Drosophila melanogaster: one gene and its partners. Changing the gene in region 1 together with any one later gene gives a genetic interaction. Each region holds a gene or a part of one and is shown on either strand. Other genes may lie near its edges. The genes, in order: upd2, dome, ebd1 and N.

Region 1 (4,772 bases):
CAGTGAGTATGGATCGGTTTGGGTGCAAAGTCCCTGCGAAATTAGATCACCGCTTTCCCAGTTAGAAGATAACTTTCCCCGTTCATTTCGCAATTGTTTATAAAAAGATGATTTGCTAGCTGACTGGCTGGCTAGCTGGCTAACTGGCCCATTACGGAATACCTTCGATCGGTTCCCATGATTAATGCTGTGTGCTCAACTTGGCCAGCTTGCCAGTTTGCCTATTTGGCAGTGTGCTAGTGTACTAGTGCCTTTTGCTTTCTGGGCTTTCTGGGGTGAATCCCCTTTGCCGGATGGCGAGTGATCGAACTGTTAATAATCGGCTTCGACGCTAATGCCAATGCTAGTGAATGGCAAGGTGGAATGTGCGAAGGCGCGATGGTGTTACCTCCAAAAGGGGCTCAATTAAAGACAGGTTAATTATAAACCAAATTTATAAAAATAACAGCTTAATTTTGATACAACAATATGTATCATATGTAGATAGTTGTAAATGGTAGCAGTGAAATCCCACCATTCAGTTGGCATTTGCCAATCGATTCGTCAACTTGAAGCCCTTCCTCTTCCCGACTATCTAGATACCTCGCATGACCAAGTTCCATCCTCGAATGATAAGAACACTAGCAACTTTCGTTGGCCAAGATCGTAGAGCATTAATCATCGCATTGCGTTCAAGCAGAACTTTCCAATATCCCGATAACCGACCAATTAGTGTTTATGGCCTTGGCCAGCTGATCAACTTGGCCAACCGCAGCAACAGCAACAGCAACAGCAACAACAACAACTAGTACTATAGCAGCACGTGCCTTATCGCAGTCGCAGAACCGCCGACAGCTCAGTCGGCGTCGTTATCAAGTCGCTGACCTACGACAACAGAGACGCCGAACGGCTGGCTGGATTGTTATTGGTCGGTGCGGAGCGAGCGGTCTGCTGAGCGGCAAAACGAATTATTCAAAGGTCGAGCGCGCTGCTATGGGCGGTGGGCGGTGGGTGGGTACGCTGGCTACGTCACCGTTGGCCGCAGACTCCGACGCCGACGCGCAGAGCGTCTGGGTAGCGTCTGGTCTGGCCTGGTATGGTCGCGTCGGGTCGGATCGGGTCGGAAGTCGTGAATCGAAATCGAAATCCGAAATCCGAAAAAAAAACCCAAATACCTATGAGTAATCTTTCTGGTGAAATTCAGCCAAAAGGCGGCCGAGAGAGCGAGAGACGGCCGTCCAGTGCGACTGACTTTGAGAGCATGACAAATGCTCGAAAACCATATCAGAAAATTGCTCAAGGCCTCGAACGGGTCGGGCTGCTGTAATTGCACTCACTCACTCACTCACTCGCTCGTTCGCTCACTCGGGCGCTCTCGCTCGCACTCGCAGACGCGATCGATTGGGATTGGGAGATCGGCACGGAGAATGAGTCGAGCCGAGTCGAGTGGAAGTGGGAATGCGTGAGCGACGCCAGGCGGCTGGAGGCTTACAAATTTTCGAGCGCCGCTGCAGCCGCAGTCACTTAGCCATCAGCCGTCGAGCGGGAGAGACCGTGGAGCGATCAGCATCAGCAGCAGCAGCAGCAGCAGCAAGCGATTGTGATAGTTGGCCAGCCAGCTAGTCAGTCAGTTAGCCAGTTAGCCAAGTTAGCCAAGTTAGCCCAGTTAGTGTAGTGTTAGTGATAGGCGCAATGCCAGCCTTTACCTTAAACGGTACGCCCGCATTTCCACCAAACCACACACCCCACCGCCCACCACCCATTGCAAACTGATACGATGGCCAATCCACTAACGCATCCACCATCTCTACCACTTGCAGCCAGCCAACAGAGCCAAAGCAGCCGCAGCAGCAGGAGTGCACACAGCAGCTGGAGCTGCCACAGCCGGCAGGTGCTGCTAGTGATCATGATCCTGAGCGTCGTGATGCCATTCACCAAGGCGCGACACTTGCGCGACCAGGTGGCACTGGACTACGCCTACGACGAGGACAACTCCGGCCGATCTTCCTCGTCGTCATCGTCATCCTCATCATCGGGTGGCGACATCCTGCCCGCCTTCGATGTCAATCCGTATCGCGGTCTGGCCGATAGCTTCGGCGAGGGCAGCTACGACAGTGATATGAGTCTCAGCGAGAGTAGCTACGAGGAGATCGCCCAGGCGGCCATCCGGGCTGCCAGGCGGGAGATGCGCCGTCAGAGGACGCGACACGCGCGCAGCCACAACCTGCGACTCTTCTCCGGCAAATCAGAGATCCCGGAGTGGGAGAACCCGTGCGGAGGCACCTACACGCCCGACGAGAGCCTCAGCGATAGCAGCGCCAGCCAAGGACGAGTTATCAAGCGCAAGGTGAGCAGGGGATCCAAAATGTTATACATATAAATTTAAATGGGAGAGATGGTGACCTACCTCAATCTTGGCTATCACTTAGATTTGCTTCAGCACTTAAGGGCAATGGAGGAAAGCAACCTACACCAAGCTTTTCTTACATTGTTTGATAACAGTTTATATTTACATAGTCGCAACGCAGCTTCATAGATACTAAGATACATAGATACTTTTGTGCGTTGTGTGTCCTGTTAGCATCTTTAGCAGGACAGCTACTTAGGCAGTTAGTTGAACCCGAAACGTTCGAGAAATTCTGTCACACAGCCAATATGCATTACTCATCGATTTCCCCCGCTCTCCACTTGCAGCACCTCGAAAACTTGCGGAACATCACGATGAGCGAATACCAAGATATAACCCACCGCGCCACCCTGGAGTACGGCAATCTGCAGCACTGGCAGCGCGAGTACAAGTTCCTGCCGAACATGACGAGGCCCACAAGTGCGGTAAGTTGATACCGATGCAGACCGCGCCAAAGAGATCCATCCAAACCGAGGCGGTGAGACAGAGTGAAGCGGACCTGCTCCGCCCTGGGCGGCGCAGACCAGTTTCCCAGTCGGCCCGCCTCATTTGCATGCCCTTCCCAGCTGCGCAGCATCCACATGCAACAGTCACTGACGAGCACTCTTCTACTCAATTTACAGGTGAAGCTAAAGACTTGGTACCGCCACATGCAGACCTTCGTGGGCAGCTTCTCATATCTGGGACGGGCGCAGTACAAGTTCCGCAAGGATCAGCAGAAGAGCCTCAACGAGGCGGTCACCAAGGAGCTGCACGACCTGCTGGTCAGCGCGCGCTATATGCTCTGCGAGATCGAGTTGACCATAAACGCCTCCTATCCGAACAGCAATGGTGCGAAGCTGAGCCGCGTTAGCCGGCAGGCGATGGAGGAGCGTCTCAACTTTCACACGCCAGCCAACGGATCCATGGAGGCGGACCAGCGCGACCTGAAGGTCAGCAAGGAGCTGTACTTCCAGTATCTGAACAACGTGTGGAAGACCCTGCACCGTGTCCTGCGGCGACCGCGACGCAATAGTGCCGAGCGGCGACACCTGGCGGCGATTCACGGAACTGGTGCGAGCGGGCTGCGGGCGGGCAGCTCGGAAATGCTCGACGTGGGCTCCTCGAACGGATCCGGTGGCAGTTCCGGCTCCGATGGCGGATCCAATGAGTCTTGAGCCCTCGGCACCCAGCTCTGAGCCAGTTGAGCCGGCCAGCCGGGTCAACATCACGCCCTTCCAGTATTATAGCGAGTACTTACAGCTGCACATTCCAAAGCTTAGCAGCTTTCCAGCTCTGCAGCTTCCAAGCCAAATAGAGGACCACCCGACCAATCGAGCGGGCGAGAACGAAGAATTTTTGTCGAATGCCATTTAGACACGTACTTTTAGTATTTATTTATTTATTGAATATTGAGTATTGAATATTGAGTATTGAGTATTAGAGCGCCTTCCATTCCAGTTGCCAAACCAAGCCAATCTAATCCACTACATTTAAACCCATTTCCCATTTGCACTTCCATGCGGCCCAGTGCCAACTCGACTATTTATTTGCCATTTAGAATATGGACTCTTTTTTTTCTCTATGTGTAGTAACTTATTTATTTATTTATGTATATCAATATTGTATTTATACCTATTTATTTGTGCAACGGCGAGATAAACTCGCCAGCAAAAGCCCAACAAAAAACCCAGCCACAAACAAAAAAATGCTTAAATCTACTGTGATTTATTTTAAGTACTTTTTTTGAATAGTTCTTAGTGATTGTGAAAAAAAAAACACGAAGCGATTGTGAAAGAAAACGAAGCGTAGTATTGTACAGACATTCTTGTGCTTAGTTGTAAGTTTGTGCAAAATAAACTTAGACAAGACAAAAAACAAAATGGTTCAGATTCTTTTGGAACAGTATATAACTATTCTATAATTTATAGCGATTTATTACTTCCCTAATAGACAGATTTTTTAAATACAAACGGAACAAGTCTATGCCTGTTCTTTTTTTGCTGAGGTATTTATCTACACATTTATGAGTTAATGAGCCCCCCACTAAATAGCTTTTGATTACTCACTAACAAAGAGCTTTAACTTCGGCATGGCGAAATTGATATACCCTTGCAGACCAATTATATATGTACATATATATATGCTGTTCACTATAATATCAATTACGTGGACTTTAGCAAATTTAAGCATACTTAGATTCTGTTATTCAGATAGCTTAAAGACAAATTTGCAGAGAAAAGTAAGAGGATATGTTTTTGCTGAACTTTCTGATAAAATAATCTACTAAATAAACAGTGCACATTGTCAATGTAATTGAATAAAAACAATTTTCTGTGATTGATTGACAACTGAATGAATAGTACGCACATACAAACATGCAACTTAAGGTTAAATACACTCTGGC
Region 2 (7,755 bases), 1.4 Mb from region 1:
CGGCAGATCCTGCGGCGTGTATGGCGGCGAGTCGTCCACCCGTGTGCACACGATGCCTCCGCTGACGGACGAGTCTGGACCCAGGCCCAATCCCAGGCCACCCATGTCTATGGGCTTCTTCATGGTCTCCATGATTCCCTGCGGCAGCACTAGACCGATATCGGACATCTTGCGGTATTTCTTGTACACGAGGTAGAAGATGACGCCCAGCACGAGAATCGCCACGGTCACCTCAATGGTCTGGTACATGGCCTTCACGCTGTGCGTGTCCGGTGTACAGATGAATCCGTAGATGCCCCAATCGGATCTGTAGAGCCGGTAGGCGGTCATGTTGGCAGCGTAGGCCTCGAACTGCAGCCGCTCCTCTTCGCCGAGCGCATCGGTGCGTGCCTCGCATCCCTTGCCGTTGGTCGACATAAGCAAAACGGCACCTTCCGCTGCATCCGCTCCGTTCAACTGCGGATGCTGCTCCACGTTGATGGCACGCACCGCTAGCTGGAAGGGATTGTGGCTGGTGCAGCGCGGCGTGGCCATCACATAGGATAGGTTCCTGCCCGGCAGAATGGTGCTTGTCAGGCAGCTGGCGTTGTTGTCGCGCAGCGAGATCTCGTAGAAATCAATGCGTCCGGCCGGCGTCCTTGGCGGTTCCCAGTCGAGACGTGAGCTCTGATCCGGATTGTTGATCACGTACAGTTGTGGCGGCGAGGGAACTGCGCAAAGGATTACACGGATAAGTATACATTGCCTATTTACACTGGCTTCAATGCTAGCGAAACCATCGATAGCACTTACCTCCGATGGCCGTGCTGAAGAGGATCACATTGCTGGGCTCCGATGGATAGACGGTCCGCGCACGCACGCTAATCTCGTACTTGGTGAATGCGGTGAGATTGCCCAGCCGGTAGGTGATGGGCTTCTCGTTGTTCACCAGCTCGTCGGCGGAGGCGCTTACGCGGAATGTATCGGTCACGTTGTCATGTAGCGAGCGGAAGGTGCCCTCGTAGGCGCGCACCACGCCGTTGGCCAGCAGCGGTGGCTTCCAGGCGAGCTCCACGCTGTCGCTGGTCACGCGGATTAGCTGCAACTCCCGCGGCTGGCTAGGCGCCGCCTCTCCGGTGCGGTTGACCAGCTCGTCGCTGTACTTGCTGACCCGCGAGTCCGAATACATCAGCATCTTGACACTGTAGTCCGTGTAGGGCACCAGATTCTGGATGACGTGCTTGTTCGTATAGCGATCGATGGTCACCGTCGTGCAATTGTCCGGACGGCCGGCCGAGCGCTGGCAGTAGGTCAGATTATAGCCGGCCAGGATCACTGCGCAGACGCGCTCCGACCAACTGACCGTCAGTGAGGTGCTGGTGGCCACATCGATCGACGGCTCCATCTTGGCCAAATCGTCCTTCTTGTCGCTACTGCAGATCGCCCAGTGTAGGCCCGTATTATGCGATTGGTAGTTGGCCGACACGGCCATGTGCAGCGTGAGCAGTTGGTCCGGTGACGTGGTGAAGTGATGCAGACCGCTTGCGACCTCCGCGAAGCGTATCGAACCCTCGCATTCCGACTGCAGGCCCGGCTTGGGCACGCACCAGAAAACGGTGTAGTTCTGCAGTTCCCGCTGATCGCTCGGCGGATCCCAGCTGAGCGTGTAGCTCTTGTTGGTCGGATGATAGACGCTGCGTATGTTCCTGGGCTCGCGCACCTTGAAGTCCCGATTGCTAATGGGGCCGATCGTCATCGGAGTGGCGTTCACAGACAGACCCTGGCTATTGCTGCTGCGGATGAGGAAGTGATGGACGGCACTCATGCTCCAGTGATCGATCATCGCCGAGTTGGACTCCACCTTGATGAGGCCAGGATCCCTGAACGAGTCGAGGTATAATCATATTAGCTAATGTATGGTAATGAAGATATGCATCTTACTAAACTAGACAATTGAAGAGTGTCTCGACTACCAGCTACCCTGTACTCACATAACAAATTTTTCAAATATGTAAGTGCGCGTGGGCGCCATCTGTTGGCGGAGAACAGCATTGTTTTGCTATCTGTGTTTAGGTTCACAAAAAAAATGTTTATGTAATTTGTGATAAGAAACTTTTTTCCAATTAAATAATATCAATGAAATTAACAAAACATACTGATTAATAATTCAAGCGAAGCTGGGTTTAATAGTTGAACTGCGGTCAATAATTGTATATATTATACCGAAATTTATATTTTTCTTGGTAAATATTAATGTGATAAACCAAGCAAAAAAAAAAAAAAAACAATAATAAAAACATATAGTGATTAGCAAGGTAGCAAAAGTATCCATTGAATTCTTTATATTTTCAGTCAAACGGCACTCGCAATTCTTAGGAATACATTTTTTTTCTGGGTAAGGATCATTTGGGAGAGTTCACATGGATCACGTGGATCCAAAATACCCGATGTAAAATCGTTACTGTTGCACAACGTATATGTAAGTATGGTTTATTTTTGAAACAACAGTATAATCTTTACTCAGAATATTTAATTCCAAGGAACAGCAGTTCTCGGAATCGCAATCCTATTTGTCATGGAAAGACGAGCATTTATCTACGCAAGTTGTCATTTATTGAGGGAATTTTCCAAAAGCTATCATTCCACTGAAATGGGAATTGCGTTTTGCAACCCCAAGATTTCCATGAAACCAATTCGATCCATCCCTTCTTTTGTTTTCACTTTTCTAACTCATTTTACGGCATTTTAACAATATTTATTTCATTGGAAAATTAATTAGCCAGATTGGCGTAAATATTTTTAAATATTGCCAATGAACATATGTTTGTGTATAGAGATAATCTTATTCTTATCGTTACTTAAGCCAGTGGAGAAATTGTTCAAAAATGTCTGTTAGTAAAAAAACCCTTTTGAAACTTCAAAGAGAATCCGCTTTTTAAAATCTGGATTTGAAATTTGCTTTGCATATAGTGCTTACAACTGAGCGGACATTTTAAAGTCGAAATCTATAAAATCCCAAAAATACAAAATTTTTGTAGATAACACAATAACTAATCGACTCTTTTTTTTCCTTCGCTTGTATTTAATAATAAATGCGAACCAATGACGTTGAATTTTGATATAAAAAATGAAAACGATTTGAAAAAGCTCGGATTTGTGTTTTGAACTCAATATTTATTTTTCGTTTTTGATAAGAACCGATAATTTTCCCACATGTATTTAATCTGTGCAAATTGCTTTTGCGTATCAAATTTATATGAATTTATTTTTAGAACCATATATTTGAAAAGGGTTTTTAGAAAAACAACACTACGCCGACGCGTTAATTTCGAAGTAATTTAATGTGCAAAAGGCTAAAATATCACACCTAATTTGGTAAAAAAATTGCCTAGCAAATGGGTTTTATACTCTGAAAATATTCATTAATCTTGGCGCATTTTGAAGCATTTTTTTTACGCTAGATAGCTCTCGAATAAATCCATATTTTGTTCTTCAAATTTCAAACTCAATTTGTTTGTTTTCCTTTGAACACTTTTCGAATGATTCTATGAAAATACGAGAAGACTGTGTTGTGTTTGTTTACACACGAAATTGTAATCGCAAGTCGTCAGAAAACTTTTGATATCATAGATGTTTGGCCTCGAAATTGCCATTGTCACCGGCTGGGCTTGTTATCTAGCCAAGATTGGTATTGCTCGAGTCTTTGGATGCCAGAGACATCATTCATCCATATATGTATGAATGTTCGCATGTAGGTTGACACTATAAATATATATGTGTTTTTTTTTAGCACGTCTATTGAATGTTGCTGTCTTCTGATCAAGAGAATCGTCTGGAGAACCCTTCAGTTTTGCCATGGTTGACAAAGATTTGGCAACGATTACAGCCACGCCTTGCAATCCGAAGACGCCTGTTGTCTGCTGTATACCTTATGTATACAGACTCCTGGCGATTCTGGGGGAAATGGTGGGTCTGCCTCCTCCGATTTCCGTGGAAGTGCATTCGCCCAGAATGCCGCCGCCCATCTGCCGTCTTCCCATTAATGAACGTGTTTCTGCCCTCGCCGCGCCACTGGCGTGCATGTGTGTACATATGTATGTACATCGGCACTTCGGACGAATTGTTAAAAATAAACATTTTCAGCGGAACCCCTTGAATGGAAATGTGGCTCCCGGCGTGTGTGCTTGTGCAAATACTACGCCGTATGGCTCTATGTGGCTCGCCCTAACGTATTCGCAAGAAGTCGTCGTTCCGGCGAATCTCTCCGGTGACTCGAGACAGGTTTGCCAATGCCCCAATAATTAGCTGCCAAGCAGCTTACGGCGCATATTCATATTCACATATAGGTACTAACCACCATCCCAGTTCCCCTCCTACTCACACTGCTGTTCCGTTGATGCGGTACTCGCTGATGGAGTACCGAAAGTCCGGTCCGTTCAGCTCGTGCTCCTCCAGGGGCTCCCAGTAGAAGCGCATAGCCTTCTCCGACGAGTAGACATAGAAGCTGCCGTAGGTGACGCGAGGAGGGCGGCGCGGCGGCGCCGGAGCGGTGGCGAACGCATAAATCATGGGCTCGCTCCAGAGCGTGTTGTTTTGGTTGGCGCGCACGCGCACCCGGAGCGTGTAGTTGTAGCCGGCGAAGGGCAGCTCCGTGAGGCAGAGCGTGTCCTTGATGGTCAGCGTGTGGTTTCGCCAGCTGGGCCGCGTGATGGGCTCAAAGTTTTGCGGCGTGACGCGCACCTGCCACACCAGGCCGCGATTGTAGTTGGACCGACGGGGCATCTCCCACGACAGGCACACGGAGCTCTCGGTCCTGTTGAGCAGGGTCAGGTTCTGGCCAGGTCGCGCCGGCACCAGACGCTCAAAGTGATTGATCGTGATCGGCTGCGTCTCGTGGCCCAGGGCATTGGAGATGGACAGTCGGAAGTAGAAGGTCTCGCTGAAGCGCTTGTAGTTGTCGTCGGTTAGGTTACAGGTGACCACTGGCGCCGAGTCGAAGTTGCAGTCCAGTGTGTTGCTATATCGCCAGTCGTTGTTGGTGTTGTAGCTGATGTTGTACTTGGTGATGACCGTGTTGGGCGGCTGGGTGAAGTTGCACACCATAAACTGGAAGTCGTAGTCCAGGCAGTTGAAGTCGCGCACCAGGAGCGGCCTGGTGCCCACGTAGACCTTTGACTTGTTGATCACATACTCGTCGCACATGCAGTGGTAGTCGTTCTCTTGCTCCACGGCATTCGTGTCGCTAAACAGGATGGTGGTGTTGTTCAGGATTCGGATGTGCTTGGAATCGCGGTAGACGCGGCCGCCGCCTGTAAAGTACAGCTTCTCCACCGGGCAGTCCTCGGCGCTCTTGCCGTTAAAGTAGTCTTCGTTGAGGGTGCAGCTCAGATTAAAGTCGCCGCCGATGAGCTGCTCCACCTTGGAGGGAATCACCCAGCCAGGATCCAAGATGGCGTTGGCGCCACCCCGGCAGCCGGCAAGCAGCATGAGCAGCAGGACGAGCTGCTCCTGGGCCACCATCTTCCTGGTCCTGGTTCTGCTCCCAATCCTAATCCTAATCCTAATCCCCTCCTTCCCTTGCTGTTAAGGTTTACTCTGGCTCTCTCTCTCTCTCTCTCCCACTCTGTCTCTCTGTCTTTAGCTCTTTTCCTCTCTTTCTGTCTCTCTCTCGCTCTTACACACGCGCGCACACCAAAACGGCGCTCTCTCACACACACAAGAGCACCTTGCTGTTGGCCTCGCACTTGTTGGCTGTGTATTGGTGGCCAGTTCTCGGAAACCGTTTATACGCTGCGTTCCTGGAAGTGGCTCTTAAACATTTCACTGCCCAGGTGTGGGCTTCTTGTCCGGGGCTTCACTACGACTAAATTACGAATAGGGCTATCAGGGCCTTGCAATGCCAATTGCTCGCTTCGAGCAACTGTGGTACCGTGTTACTGTTTTGTCTCTGGCTCTCTCGCAAATGCAGAATCCTCAGTTGGCTAAGGCGATCGCTCTCCTCCCTGCCCCCGCTCGCGATGCTGACGATATATGTTGTCGACGAGTTGCTTGTCCGCAGTGTGACCGCTTATCGAAAGTTATCGCAGTCCGATATGCGATATCACTGGGGCTACCTGTCGACGAACGGCCCCACTAAATGCGATAGGTGCCAAACATCGCATTTCAGCCGAAATTCGAATTCTAGGCCACCCGTTGCTTGTATCTCTAGAACGCCCTCTGCCGAATACGTTTTCAAGCAGAGCAAACTACTTGGCAGCGGTTTTGGACGCGTTCAAAGCGTTCAATTGGCCGCTATCGATTCATCGATTGGTGGTTGATACGTCAGCCCTGGCGTGTGTAAGAGTCAAAATCGAAATCCATCGTGAGTGTGTGTGTGTCCGTGTGAGTGAGAAAGTGACGAATTACTTTTCATCAAATGGGAAATAATTTAGGGTGAAAACACGTATATATTCGGAACACATTTAAATTACAGACGTGATAACATCTCGAAAGAACCAGCTACATCGGTGCAAATTAAGCTAAACGAGAACACCGCAAATACACCATCGAAATGGCGGAAGGCGGCAGCAAGCGCATCAACGTGGTTGTAAAAACGCCAAAGGACAAGAAAACGGTCGAAGTTGACGAAGATTCTGGAATAAAAGATGTGAGTACGGAGCACGTGACCCGCCTGACTTGGTTGCTGGTACCCCAAACCCTTCTGGACCCTTCCATTCATAGCGATGGACCACCTCCCTCCCTCCCTGCTCTTTGCCCACACCCCCGAAAGTATTGGGAAATTAGTGCCCGTAATCGCGGTACAGTGCACTTTGCCTAAGCCGCACACAACACGCGCAGCTGGTACAGTGCACTTTGCACAGTGATTGGTCTTCTTCCCATTAACACACATAAATTGAAGCAGAGGCATGGGAGCGAACATTTAATTGAAAGGGGAAACTAGACCATGGGCACATAATAATGACAACAATCACACCATTCTCGCCCCACAGTTCAAAATTCTGGTTGCACAAAAGTTCGAGGCGGAGCCCGAGCAGCTCGTGCTCATTTTTGCCGGCAAAATTATGAAGGACACGGACACCCTTCAGATGCACAACATCAAGGACAACCTGACGGTGCATCTGGTGATTAAGGCGCCGACGCGCAACAACGAGCAGCCGGCCCGACAGCCGGCTGACGTGCGCCAAACGCCCTTTGGCCTCAATCAATTCGGTGGCCTGGCCGGAATGGAGGCACTTGGAGCCGGATCGAACACGTTCATGGATCTGCAGGCGCGCATGCAGAACGAGCTGCTCAACAATGGCGACATGCTGCGCTCCCTGATGGACAACCCGATGGTGCAGCAGATGATGAATAATCCGGATACCATGCGTCAGCTTATCACGTCCAATCCGCAAATGCATGACCTGATGCAGCGCAACCCCGAGATCTCGCATATGCTTAACAATCCGGACCTGCTGCGCCAGACGATGGAGCTGGCCCGCAATCCCTCGATGTTGCAGGAGCTGATGCGTTCGCACGACCGCGCCATGTCGAATCTGGAGTCGGTGCCGGGCGGCTATAGCGCCCTGCAGCGCATCTACCGCGATATTCAGGAGCCAATGATGAACGCGGCCACGGAATCCTTTGGTCGCAACCCCTTTGCCGGCCTGGTCGACGGCGGCGGTTCAGGAGCCGGCAACAACCCGCAGCAGGGCACCGAGAACCGCAATCCCCTGCCGAATCCATGGGGCGGTGCCAATTCGGGAACCAATGGAACAGTCGGTGGCTCCGGCGCCG
Region 3 (4,713 bases), on another chromosome or scaffold:
TCTTAGCCCCAATCAAGATTGTCGGCATAAGGAAATCATCAGCAAAGTATGAATTTATTTTAACTCGCTCTCCAAAATTTCACACTGATCAGGGAAAATTTTAAAATACACTCTGAATCAGGGAAATTCTCTCTTTAACAAGATAGAATTCAATGATTGACCTCTTTGTTCCGTTATTTTCATTTACATGCGCTTTGTCTCTTTCTCTCTTCTGGCTCGCCTGTGTGTGTGTGTGTGGGTGACCTCCCGCCCGGCAAAAAAAGAAGAAGAAGCCCAACTAAGGGCAGACATGCGCACTTCGAAAAAAAAACAATTAGCGCGTATATTTAGCCGACTTTTTGTTCTGGCGAGAATGTGTGGAAGGAAATGTAGCTGTTATAACATACAACACAGGTCAAAATAATAGGGTTACAGTCGGGAGCATAGTATAAAATAGTTCCAACAGACCAATTGACAATTGACATTAGCTCATTCATCACAATATTTTATAACCACATCAAATTTACTCACTAGAAACTTGGTTTGATTGCGTTTATTTGGTTCGAATACAAATTATGTTCACCTTAGATCTAATGATTGATTGCATCCGACCGATGTGCATCTTCTAGATGCATCAGTTTGCAAAGATTACACTCTTTGGCTGCAGCTATTCCTCCTCCTCTTCGTTCTCCTTCATGTGGCGCTCACTGTTTGGAGCATTCTACGGCACATTGTCATCCATTTCGCGCATCACTTCATCGGCTCGTGTGATCAGCTCAATCAGCCGGTAGTTCTCCTTGTACAGAGCAAACTCCTCGAGTAGCTTTAGGTACTTGCGTGCATCGGCGCAGCTGATGACACTGGACCCACTTTCTTGGCCGGATCCCCCATTGTTGTTATCGTCTTGGGCGGACTCATAGCGACGTTTGGTGCCCTGGCGAGGATTCAGCGAGTTTTCAACTGCCGCAGGCGAACTCACCTTTCGCTGCCGCATCTGCTCGATGTACTCCATCTCGTCCTCCACATTGGCCGCCAGAACCTCGGCCAGCGAGGTGACACTGGAGCGACCATTGTTCGCGTCTTCATCGAGATCCGCTGGGTCTTGGTCCAGTTCCGATTCCAGCTCAGCCTCTGGCTCCACTTTTATGTGCACTGTAGGCGGAATTTCAAGATCCTTTTCCCTTTGTGCTCGGTCATCGTTCTCCTGGAGCTCCGCCTCGGGCTGCTTCGCCAGGAGCTCTTCCGGGTCCTTGGGCTCCACTTTGATTTCCTTTTCCTGCTTGATCTCTAGTTTGGGCGGCGGTACCACCGGTCCTTTGTCCTGCTGCTGTGGGGCAGGAATCTTGGTGATGCTCTGAGCGAGCGTGGCTAGTGGTATGATGGTCATGGTCATGGGCTGTCCGCCCGCTTGCGTCGGAACAATGGGTGTGGCCAGGAGAACTTTTTGAGTGGTGCCTGGCGGTGTGTTAGCTTGGAGGGGCAGTCTAACTAGAGGCGGCAAGGGCTTCAGAGCCCTGGCAAAATTTAGTTCGCTTAGTGAGGGCTTGACATCAGGCTCCTCCTCCAGATCATCCTCGCCGCTAATACCGCCACCGTCGACATCCACCTCGTCATCCTCGTCTTCTACATAGCTGCGGGGATGGCTGCTCACCGGGCTGCCCAAGCTGACCTCTTCGTCATCCTCCTCGCCGTTCCGTGGCCCACTTTCCGGCATGCTTTCCGACATGACGTCCTTGACGATGTCCTTGATCTGCACCGAGTAGCCCTGCGTGTAGCCTATCTTCAACAGTCTGGTGTCGCTGTGTTGGATGCTGTAGGTGCGTCTGAACTTGTCGCACCACTCCTGGTGCGGAAAGAAATGTGCCAGGTTCATGGAGCTCTTGAACTGCAGCGCCATCTTCTGGATGAGTCCGTCGGAGATGCTGAAGTCCTTGTAGTACATCATGCGGCGTATCCAATCGTACACGGCCTTGCCCAACATCGAGACCCTGACGGTCTTCGTCTCCATGGTCTTGGCGTCCTGGCTCCTGCGGGTTCGCTGATCCCACGCGTTCAGAATCTCAGCGCGCTGCTGCACGATCCGCTTGATCTGATCTGGGCTGCAGTTGAACAGCCGGCCAACGTGCTTATAAACCGGCAGCCGATCGTATTCCCGCAGAGCAGCAACCTTTTCGTTGAGGGCCAGGACATTCTTGCGCTTGATGCGATTGTCGAAGGCCACCTTCTCGGCGGCCGGCAGGCTGGGGGTGTGCGTGCTAGTGGGTGTGGGTGATGCAGTCGAAGTGGGTGCTGCTGGTGGAGCAGGCGCAGGCGCAGGAGCTGGTGTGAGAACCTCCGTGTCAGTGGCCTAACGACGAAGGGAAAAAAAGTGCTGTTATTACCGGGTTTTATGGTAACAGTTGAAATCGTGCAAAGTAATGCCACCATGAATGTAGAGATACAGTGCTCCCTCTGAACATGAATAATGTAGACAAAACAACAGAAGGTCTTTGCATATTTAGTTATGTTAACAAAAGCAACAGTTAAGAAAGACGAAGTTTCAAGGAATACATGGGGCTTTTATACTCATACTCATTCAAGCTTATATACAAATAAACGCCTAGATCAAGTCATTTACACTCGTGTTCTTTGAGAAGTGAAATGGGGTGGAAACACTTTGCGAGGCTTGACTGTGGCCACTTACCTTCGCCTTGTTGTTGTTGTCCTGCGTCTTGGAGGCCTCCTTGTGCTCCTTTTTCTCCCTCTCCACGCGCTTCTCCACCCTCAGCTCCCTCTGCAACTTGCGTTTTTCGCGTATCCGCATTGTTTGTGCTTTCCGTGCAATTTACACGGCAATTGCCGTTTGTTTTCGTCTTGTTTGTTTTTGTTGCTGCTGCTGCGCCCACTCAATTTCGCCCACCCCTTGCACCCTTTCTGCTCTCTCACTCACACACCCGCCCGCCTGTGTGTGTGTGTCCGTGCGGCTGTGTGTGTGCGATGGCTACGATTATGCGCGTTGACTGTCAAGCGAATTCAAATCATTTCGTCACTGCTTTTCTCGCTTTTCTTTGGCCTTTCAATGCGCTTTGGCTCTATTCGCTTTCGTTTTCTCTTCCTAGGCACTCGATTTGTCTTCTGATTGTGATTTTCCAACTGGCCGTGCGCTGCACCTTGCGTATTTTCCGATGTCCGTGCGAACTAGACGACGACCCATACAAAAATAGCTGCCGCGTTATCTCGCGCAGTTTTCATTCTCTGCTCGCTCCCTCTCTCGCTCTCGCATGCGCAACGTGGGCAACTAGAACGGAAGGGAAGTCGGCGTGTGCGAGAGTGTGTGTGCGTGTGACCAGCTGAGAGGGTGCAACTGCGCATGCGACAACTTTACTGTTACTTTCGCCATGTGGCAACTCTGCAGGCGATCGCTTTTTAAGTAGAGTAAGATTAATGAGAACATACATATGTATGTATGTATTTTGTTTTCAGTTTAAGAATGAATTGATTTCACAAGATCTGCAACTAACTGCACTGTAAAATATAACTATAAAGTCTTTGCGAATTGTAATCAATATTTAATTTAAATTAATCGAACCACCACCAATTGGAAACCCACGAGTCCATACATTTCGAAAATAATCTTTATTTTAACGCTTTTCTCCGGCTAATTTGTTTAACCGAATTTGGTGAAGTGTCGCAGGATGTGCGACATGGCCGCGGGATTATCGGCAGGAACCATGTGACCAGCCCGGTTGACCCAAAACATGCTGAAGTTGCCATAGGTCTTCTCGTAACCCTCGAGAACTCGATCTACGGTGATTCCCACGCGCGGAGAGACCTGGTAAGATGGCTTGGCGGACCATTCCATTGCTTCGATCCAGTTGACGGCTCCCGGAGTGGCGCAAATCAGGTCCAGTCCTCCGGAGAACACGCCCACTTTTACGGTGGTGTTGTTCAGCAGTTCACCCACTAAAAGTGTCATAAGGCTATAATTTGAGGTAGCACCCAGACGGTTGAAACATACCAACATCCACAGCTGGCTTCATGAAATCGCCCATCAGCTTGGTGAAGGTGGTGCCGCTCTGGGCGCCCCATTTCACTCCGGTGTTGATTCCGAGGGCCTCGGTCACGGGTCCAAGCATTAGATCCTCCAGCAATTTGTCGCGGTCCTCATCCACATCGAATTTCACGAGGGTGCGATACATGACCTCTGGATAAGTGGTTGATGAGAATCAGCTCGGTAAGTTACGCAACGGATCTTACCCTCCGGAGTCATGGCAGCTCTGGACATCAACCTGTACTGATCACCCAATGTTGGGGTCTCCACGTTATAGAAGTCCACTCCCTTGGACTCGCGCAGCACCACTGACTGGGTGGAGCTCCACTGCAAAGTGGCCTGTGTCCACTTCTCGCGGTCAACATAGTCCTTAGTCTTCAGGGCCGAAGCTTCAATCTTGTCATGGCCATCCTGATCCACGATTCCCAACTGCAGCAGGAAGGGAGCCCACGAGAGCACAGAGTCTATGGGTGAGGTCCAGGGATCTCCCAAGGCCACCGAAACAAAGTTGCTCTCGATCTCACCGCGCTTGATGGCGTAATCCAACTCCAAAGCGAACTCCGGGGCCATCTTTCCGCCATAACTCTCGCAGAAGATGTGCAGCGGCACAGTCTTGAATTCCGGGTGGTTTGTGTAGAAGCCCTTCATCAGCTCAACGAGATCCAGGGCGATCTGCTTGTTGTTGGTCGTGTAGTAAGAAGATC
Region 4 (4,776 bases), about 15 Mb from region 1:
TATAAAAGCAAACGAAAATGAAAAGTAAAGCAGCAGCAGCAGAAAGCAAAAACAATTTTCTAAGCCAAAATTTATCAAATTTTTTAGACTTAATTACGTATACATCAAACGAAACCAACTGAATGCAGTGAGAGAAAATATTTAGATTAAGTGCTGTGCTGCATCTGTGACCCGGTCAAGAAGAGCCAAAAGTAACATATATAACTATTATTTTGCACACAAACAAACAAAATTGAAATTGAATTGAAAACTATATTTTTACGGGATGCTACAGTATTATTGCAATTTAATCGATAATCCCCAAGCCGCAAAAAACTAAAAACAAAAAGATGTCCAAATATTGGTGATTTACGAGTAAAGTGAATAAAATTAGAAAAACCACCAACATATATATATATATATATATATATAGTTCCCACTTTCCAACTTTTTGATCGGGTTTTCAGTGGCACAGCATTTCAGCATCCATGTGAAAAGTTGAATATTTTTTTGTCTAGCCCTAAGCGCGTAAATGATATTTGAACTTAAATCAATTATGTAAAGAAGCAAATGAAATATTGTATATCGTATATATATATATATATATATATATATAGAGCATAAATGTGTATGTCAACGCTTGAATTAAAAAATGACTAGCTAAGATTAGAGAGAATGTTTGTAATTTTTTTTTTTTGTCTGCCTAGTTTAGGTTTAAGCCTATTTATAGACGTAAATGAAGAATTTTAAAGGTAAAAAGAAAAACTTAAAAAGCTTAGAAACAATTTGTAAAACATTTGAGCGATCTACCAAAAAAAAAAAAAACGCAATTAAGTGTAAAGCGTTCAATTTTTAACACGAAATGCTGCCTTATGATTCCTCGTTGGGTTCTTAATTCACTAAGCCAATACTGTAATTAATTAACTAATTTATTGTTTCATATTTTATTTTTTGTTTCTTTCGAGAATATACATATGTATGTATTTATCTAAAGTAATTCTGAAAATGCTTAAAAATAATGCCCGTTCGTTTAAACTGATTTATACACTCGAATCTAATTCTATTCTTTCCGTGGGCCAATTGCGCCGAGCTTTTTAACTGGGATAGCGTTCCGAAAATCGGAGATAAGTATGGTGTTACATATTTTTTTTTGTTTTCGATAATTGTCAAACGATTCAATTAAGCGTTCAATTATATAGACGTTACACACGAAACGAAATGAAATTCAAATGAAATCCTATTAAGCCAAGTAAAGTATGATAATTGCAGGAAGCGGAGTTGCGAAAAAAAAAGGTACGGAAAATGAAAACTAAGAACGTATTGCGGGAAAACCTAACTTAAGTCGAGAACAACTCAAATTAGTTGAAATAAAGATACGAGAACAAAAGGAAAATAAAATACTTAAAAAATGCTACAAGTGCGTTTTTCAATCAAATTTATGCACATTTTTTTCCAGTGCCTACGAATTTTACATTGTCGAATTTTACATTATACATAGCGTAATTTCTACGAATCTTACATTGTCGAATTTTACATTTTACATAGCGTAATTTCTACATACCGCTATGACGGCACTAAAGCGCCATTCGGCGAAATGGGGAAACTACTCATGCAAGCGGCTCGGAGCCCGGCTAACGTTATTTGTTCACCAACCGATCTCGCAACGCTGCGAAAGAGCGCGCTGCCAAAATGGCTCCCCGCCATACGGTATCTTTTTCTTGCACCGACGCGGTCACACTGCCGATTTGAAACAGATCGCTTTTTTCCAGTGGACGAAACGGTTGTGAAAGCGGACGAGCGTTAGGCAGACGAACCTGGAAAGCGCAGAGCACAGTTCTCAACATTTATTTTTTTTTTGAATGTGTGTGCAACAACGCACGTAAAATCGCGCTGCCAACAGGATATACAAACAAATCAATTACACAGCAAGCAAATGCAATGAAATGAAAAGGATGGCCCCAGCGGGAAAGCCGTTCAGCAAGAGCAAGGAGTGCCTGTCGCAGGGATAGCAACGAGAGAGCGACACAGAGAGCGAGAGAGAGAGAGGGAGAGAAACAAGGATTTTCGAAAAGTGTATCTACCTCGAGTCGCGCGTGTGTGAGAGTGAGACGAAAGCCGAGTGCAAGAAGCGCAAGAGGAAGAGAGCAATACGCAAGCGTGCGGCGTCGGTTTGAATTTGAATTTGTGGCTCGATCCTCGCGAAGAGAAAAGCAAGCAAAAGATACACGAAAAGCGTTCTTTTTTTGCCACTTTTTTTTTATGTTTCAAAACGGAAAATGTCGCCGTCGTCGGGAGAGTGCCTCCTCTTAGTTTATCAAATAAAGCTTTAAAGTCTGAAGTTCAAAACTATAAAAAACAAAAAAAAAAACAAAAAAACAACAAACGCGCTAAAACAAAAAATTGCTTAAACTACTGAGACTAGCATACTAAACCTAAACTCGCAGTTAAACATATCCTCAAAGAGAGACCAAAGAGGAGCGCTAAAGAAACCGAGAAGCGAGTAGAGGTGAAAAACTGGAAAAGTGGTTAACTGGAAAACTGGATTACAATGCAATCGCAGCGCAGCCGACGTCGCAGTCGCGCACCAAACACTTGGATTTGTTTTTGGATTAACAAAATGCACGCCGTTGCGTCGCTGCCGGCGTCGCTGCCTCTGCTGCTGTTGACGCTGGCGTTTGCGAATTTGCCAAACACCGTTCGCGGAACTGGTGAGTAAAGCGGAGACGCCGATCAGAACAACTAGGCGGGGGGAGGGCAGGGTGACAGGCGGGGTCGCCCGAAAATAGGGTGGGTGCACAAACTGGAATTCCAGGAGGCTCAAAACGTTCCAAAACGCTTGCCAAAGAACGGTTTTTTACAGAACCAAAACTATGAGATAAGATGATCTTGTATAGCTGAAAGATGTGGATCTCAACTAATAGTACTGAATCGCATAATTGTTTGGTCTTAGATGTCAGTTTTAAATGGAGCATACTTAGTATGAAACAACTAAAATTGCAATTACAAAATATACATACATTTGCATTGGACTAGTTCCGCTTAAACCCGTTGGATAGATCGCTACATTGCATAGCTAGGAAATGTTGGTCTATAAAATCGGATGCATTCGCAACACATATAAGTGACTGAGCAAACCCATGCAACTGTAATCCAAAAAGGAAGTGATGCTACTTAATCTGCTTAATAAGCCTATAGGATTGTTGCAAATCCTACCTTAAAGAATTTCACTTTAAACGCAATCGTCGGAATCCGCTCCCAAATGCGTTCTCTGTGTTTCTCCATTCCCTTTTCGATCCTCTTCGTTTGTCTCCCTTTTGGGCAGCTCCTCTTCGCTCTTCGCCTTCCTTTTCATGGCTTGTATTCACCGCGCTTCCTTTTGCGCTGTCTTCCTTGGCTTCGCTTTGTTGTCGCTTTTCGGACAGGTGGTCGTTTTTTTTTCCTCTCTCTTTCTCTCTCTCTCTCTCCTTGTTGTCTCGCTGATCTCGTTCTCGCTCTCGCTCGATCGCTGTCGCTGTCTCGCTCTCCGCCGACTGCGCATGCTCTCTCAGATTTGGAAACCCACCTTTTCGAAACAAGAAAGACCGTTTTTACCGTCGGCAAAAGGCGAGTTTTTCCATTCCCCTAGCACTCTAGGCACTCTTTCCTTTGTGTTTTCTCACTGCGCTATTTGCTCGCTAGTAGTGAGTGGCCAACTTCCTTTCCAGCTTTGGAAGCGAACTCTCCTCCTCCACACGCTGTGTTGTGCCGCATGCACATGGGGCTTACTTGGGTATTTGCATATGGAGCGGTCGTTGTCTAATCACTGAACAAACACCGAATCGTATCGGATCGGATCGGATCGGTTGTAGGTGTACTTAGGGTCGATTGCCCCAGTAAAATGTCAACTTTCCATGGAACTCGAAATCTCTTCGACGGAATTCTCGGCTCAACGATGAGAAAGTATGGGGAATGCAGCTCGATATCATAGTATTTTGAAACAAATTTGATAATGTCAGAGAATTTTTTGTTGTTTCATTATTCGAAAATCTATCGAAATCCATCAATCCATCAAACGTTTAAAAGCAATTAAATGATCATTACTAGAAATTTGATCCCTGAGCACTGGGCAACTTTATTATTACGCACTCCATGATCTCTGCTATTTTTTTTATATTTTTTAACAGCTGCAACCGAAGAGCGTTGAACTATTATGTTTATAACTTTTACCTGGGCATTTCCTGAGCTCGAGTTTCCGCCTCCTAAACTCTTTTTTTTTCTGGCTTTATTAGCCATGGGTAATCGTGTGATCTTTGCAGTTTTAGCCAAAGGAAGTTGTAGTAAAAGTTAAATAAACGGTATAAAAAAGTATACAAATGCATATGCATATAAAGGTGAAAAAAATGCTGAAAGTAGTAATAATAAGAGTGTTAATTGATGCCAGGATATATTGCAAAAACAAAAAGGGCATCCTTTGCATTCAGTTCACTTCATTCTACTACTGCGCTAAGAAAAAAGTGTTCGAAGATGGAAAAAAAAAACCAAAAAAAAAAACAAAAATCTCTCGAATCTTCATGTACATTTTTGTACCTATTAAGTTCTCACAAATTTACGCCCCATTAGCTCCAATCCAAGTTTGTTCAACTTTGTGCGATCGAACGCCTGCATTTAGCCACAAATTTAGGGTATTATTTTTTTGCAGGTTTAATGTGGCACGTAACGGTTTCGAGAAACGAGAACCAGAACCAACCACCGCATTCGATTTCATCATATATGTACACAACCAGGCGCATATAGAAAGAATGTAGTTGGAATAAACGA

The links.
Region 2: of upd2 (region 1) and dome, changing one suppresses a phenotype caused by changing the other (phenotypic suppression), as found in Drosophila melanogaster (one study listed by BioGRID).
Region 3: of upd2 (region 1) and ebd1, changing one suppresses a phenotype caused by changing the other (phenotypic suppression), as found in Drosophila melanogaster (one study listed by BioGRID).
Region 4: of upd2 (region 1) and N, changing one suppresses a phenotype caused by changing the other (phenotypic suppression), as found in Drosophila melanogaster (2 studies listed by BioGRID).

Annotation. Positions count from the first base shown.
Region 1 is NC_004354.4:18,240,119-18,244,890, reverse strand, and holds upd2 (unpaired 2), read left to right. Parts: upstream 1-1,606; 5' UTR 1,607-1,671; coding exon 1,672-1,693; intron 1,694-1,799; coding exon 1,800-2,326; intron 2,327-2,673; coding exon 2,674-2,811; intron 2,812-3,009; coding exon 3,010-3,543; 3' UTR 3,544-4,237; downstream 4,238-4,772.
Region 2 is NC_004354.4:19,677,472-19,685,226, forward strand, and holds the start of dome (domeless), read right to left. Parts: upstream 6,048-7,755; 5' UTR 5,500-6,047; coding exon 4,361-5,499; intron 1,860-4,360; coding exon 793-1,859; intron 711-792; coding exon 1-710. Other genes in the region: Ubqn (ubiquilin), read left to right, coding at 6,530-6,625, 6,969-7,755. UniProt on the Drosophila melanogaster protein: Critical for epithelial morphogenesis during oogenesis; border cell migration. Required in the germarium for the polarization of follicle cells during encapsulation of germline cells. Required for embryonic segmentation and trachea specification.
Region 3 is NT_037436.4:682,366-687,078, forward strand, and holds ebd1 (earthbound 1), read right to left. Parts: upstream 3,185-4,713; 5' UTR 2,783-3,184; coding exon 2,663-2,782; intron 2,327-2,662; coding exon 701-2,326; 3' UTR 520-700; downstream 1-519. Other genes in the region: hiro (highroad), read right to left, coding at 3,626-3,921, 3,977-4,162, 4,216-4,713.
Region 4 is NC_004354.4:3,133,141-3,137,916, forward strand, and holds the start of N (notch), read left to right. Parts: upstream 1-1,729; 5' UTR 1,730-2,527; coding exon 2,528-2,687; intron 2,688-4,776. UniProt on the Drosophila melanogaster protein: Essential signaling protein which has a major role in many developmental processes. Functions as a receptor for membrane-bound ligands Delta and Serrate to regulate cell-fate determination.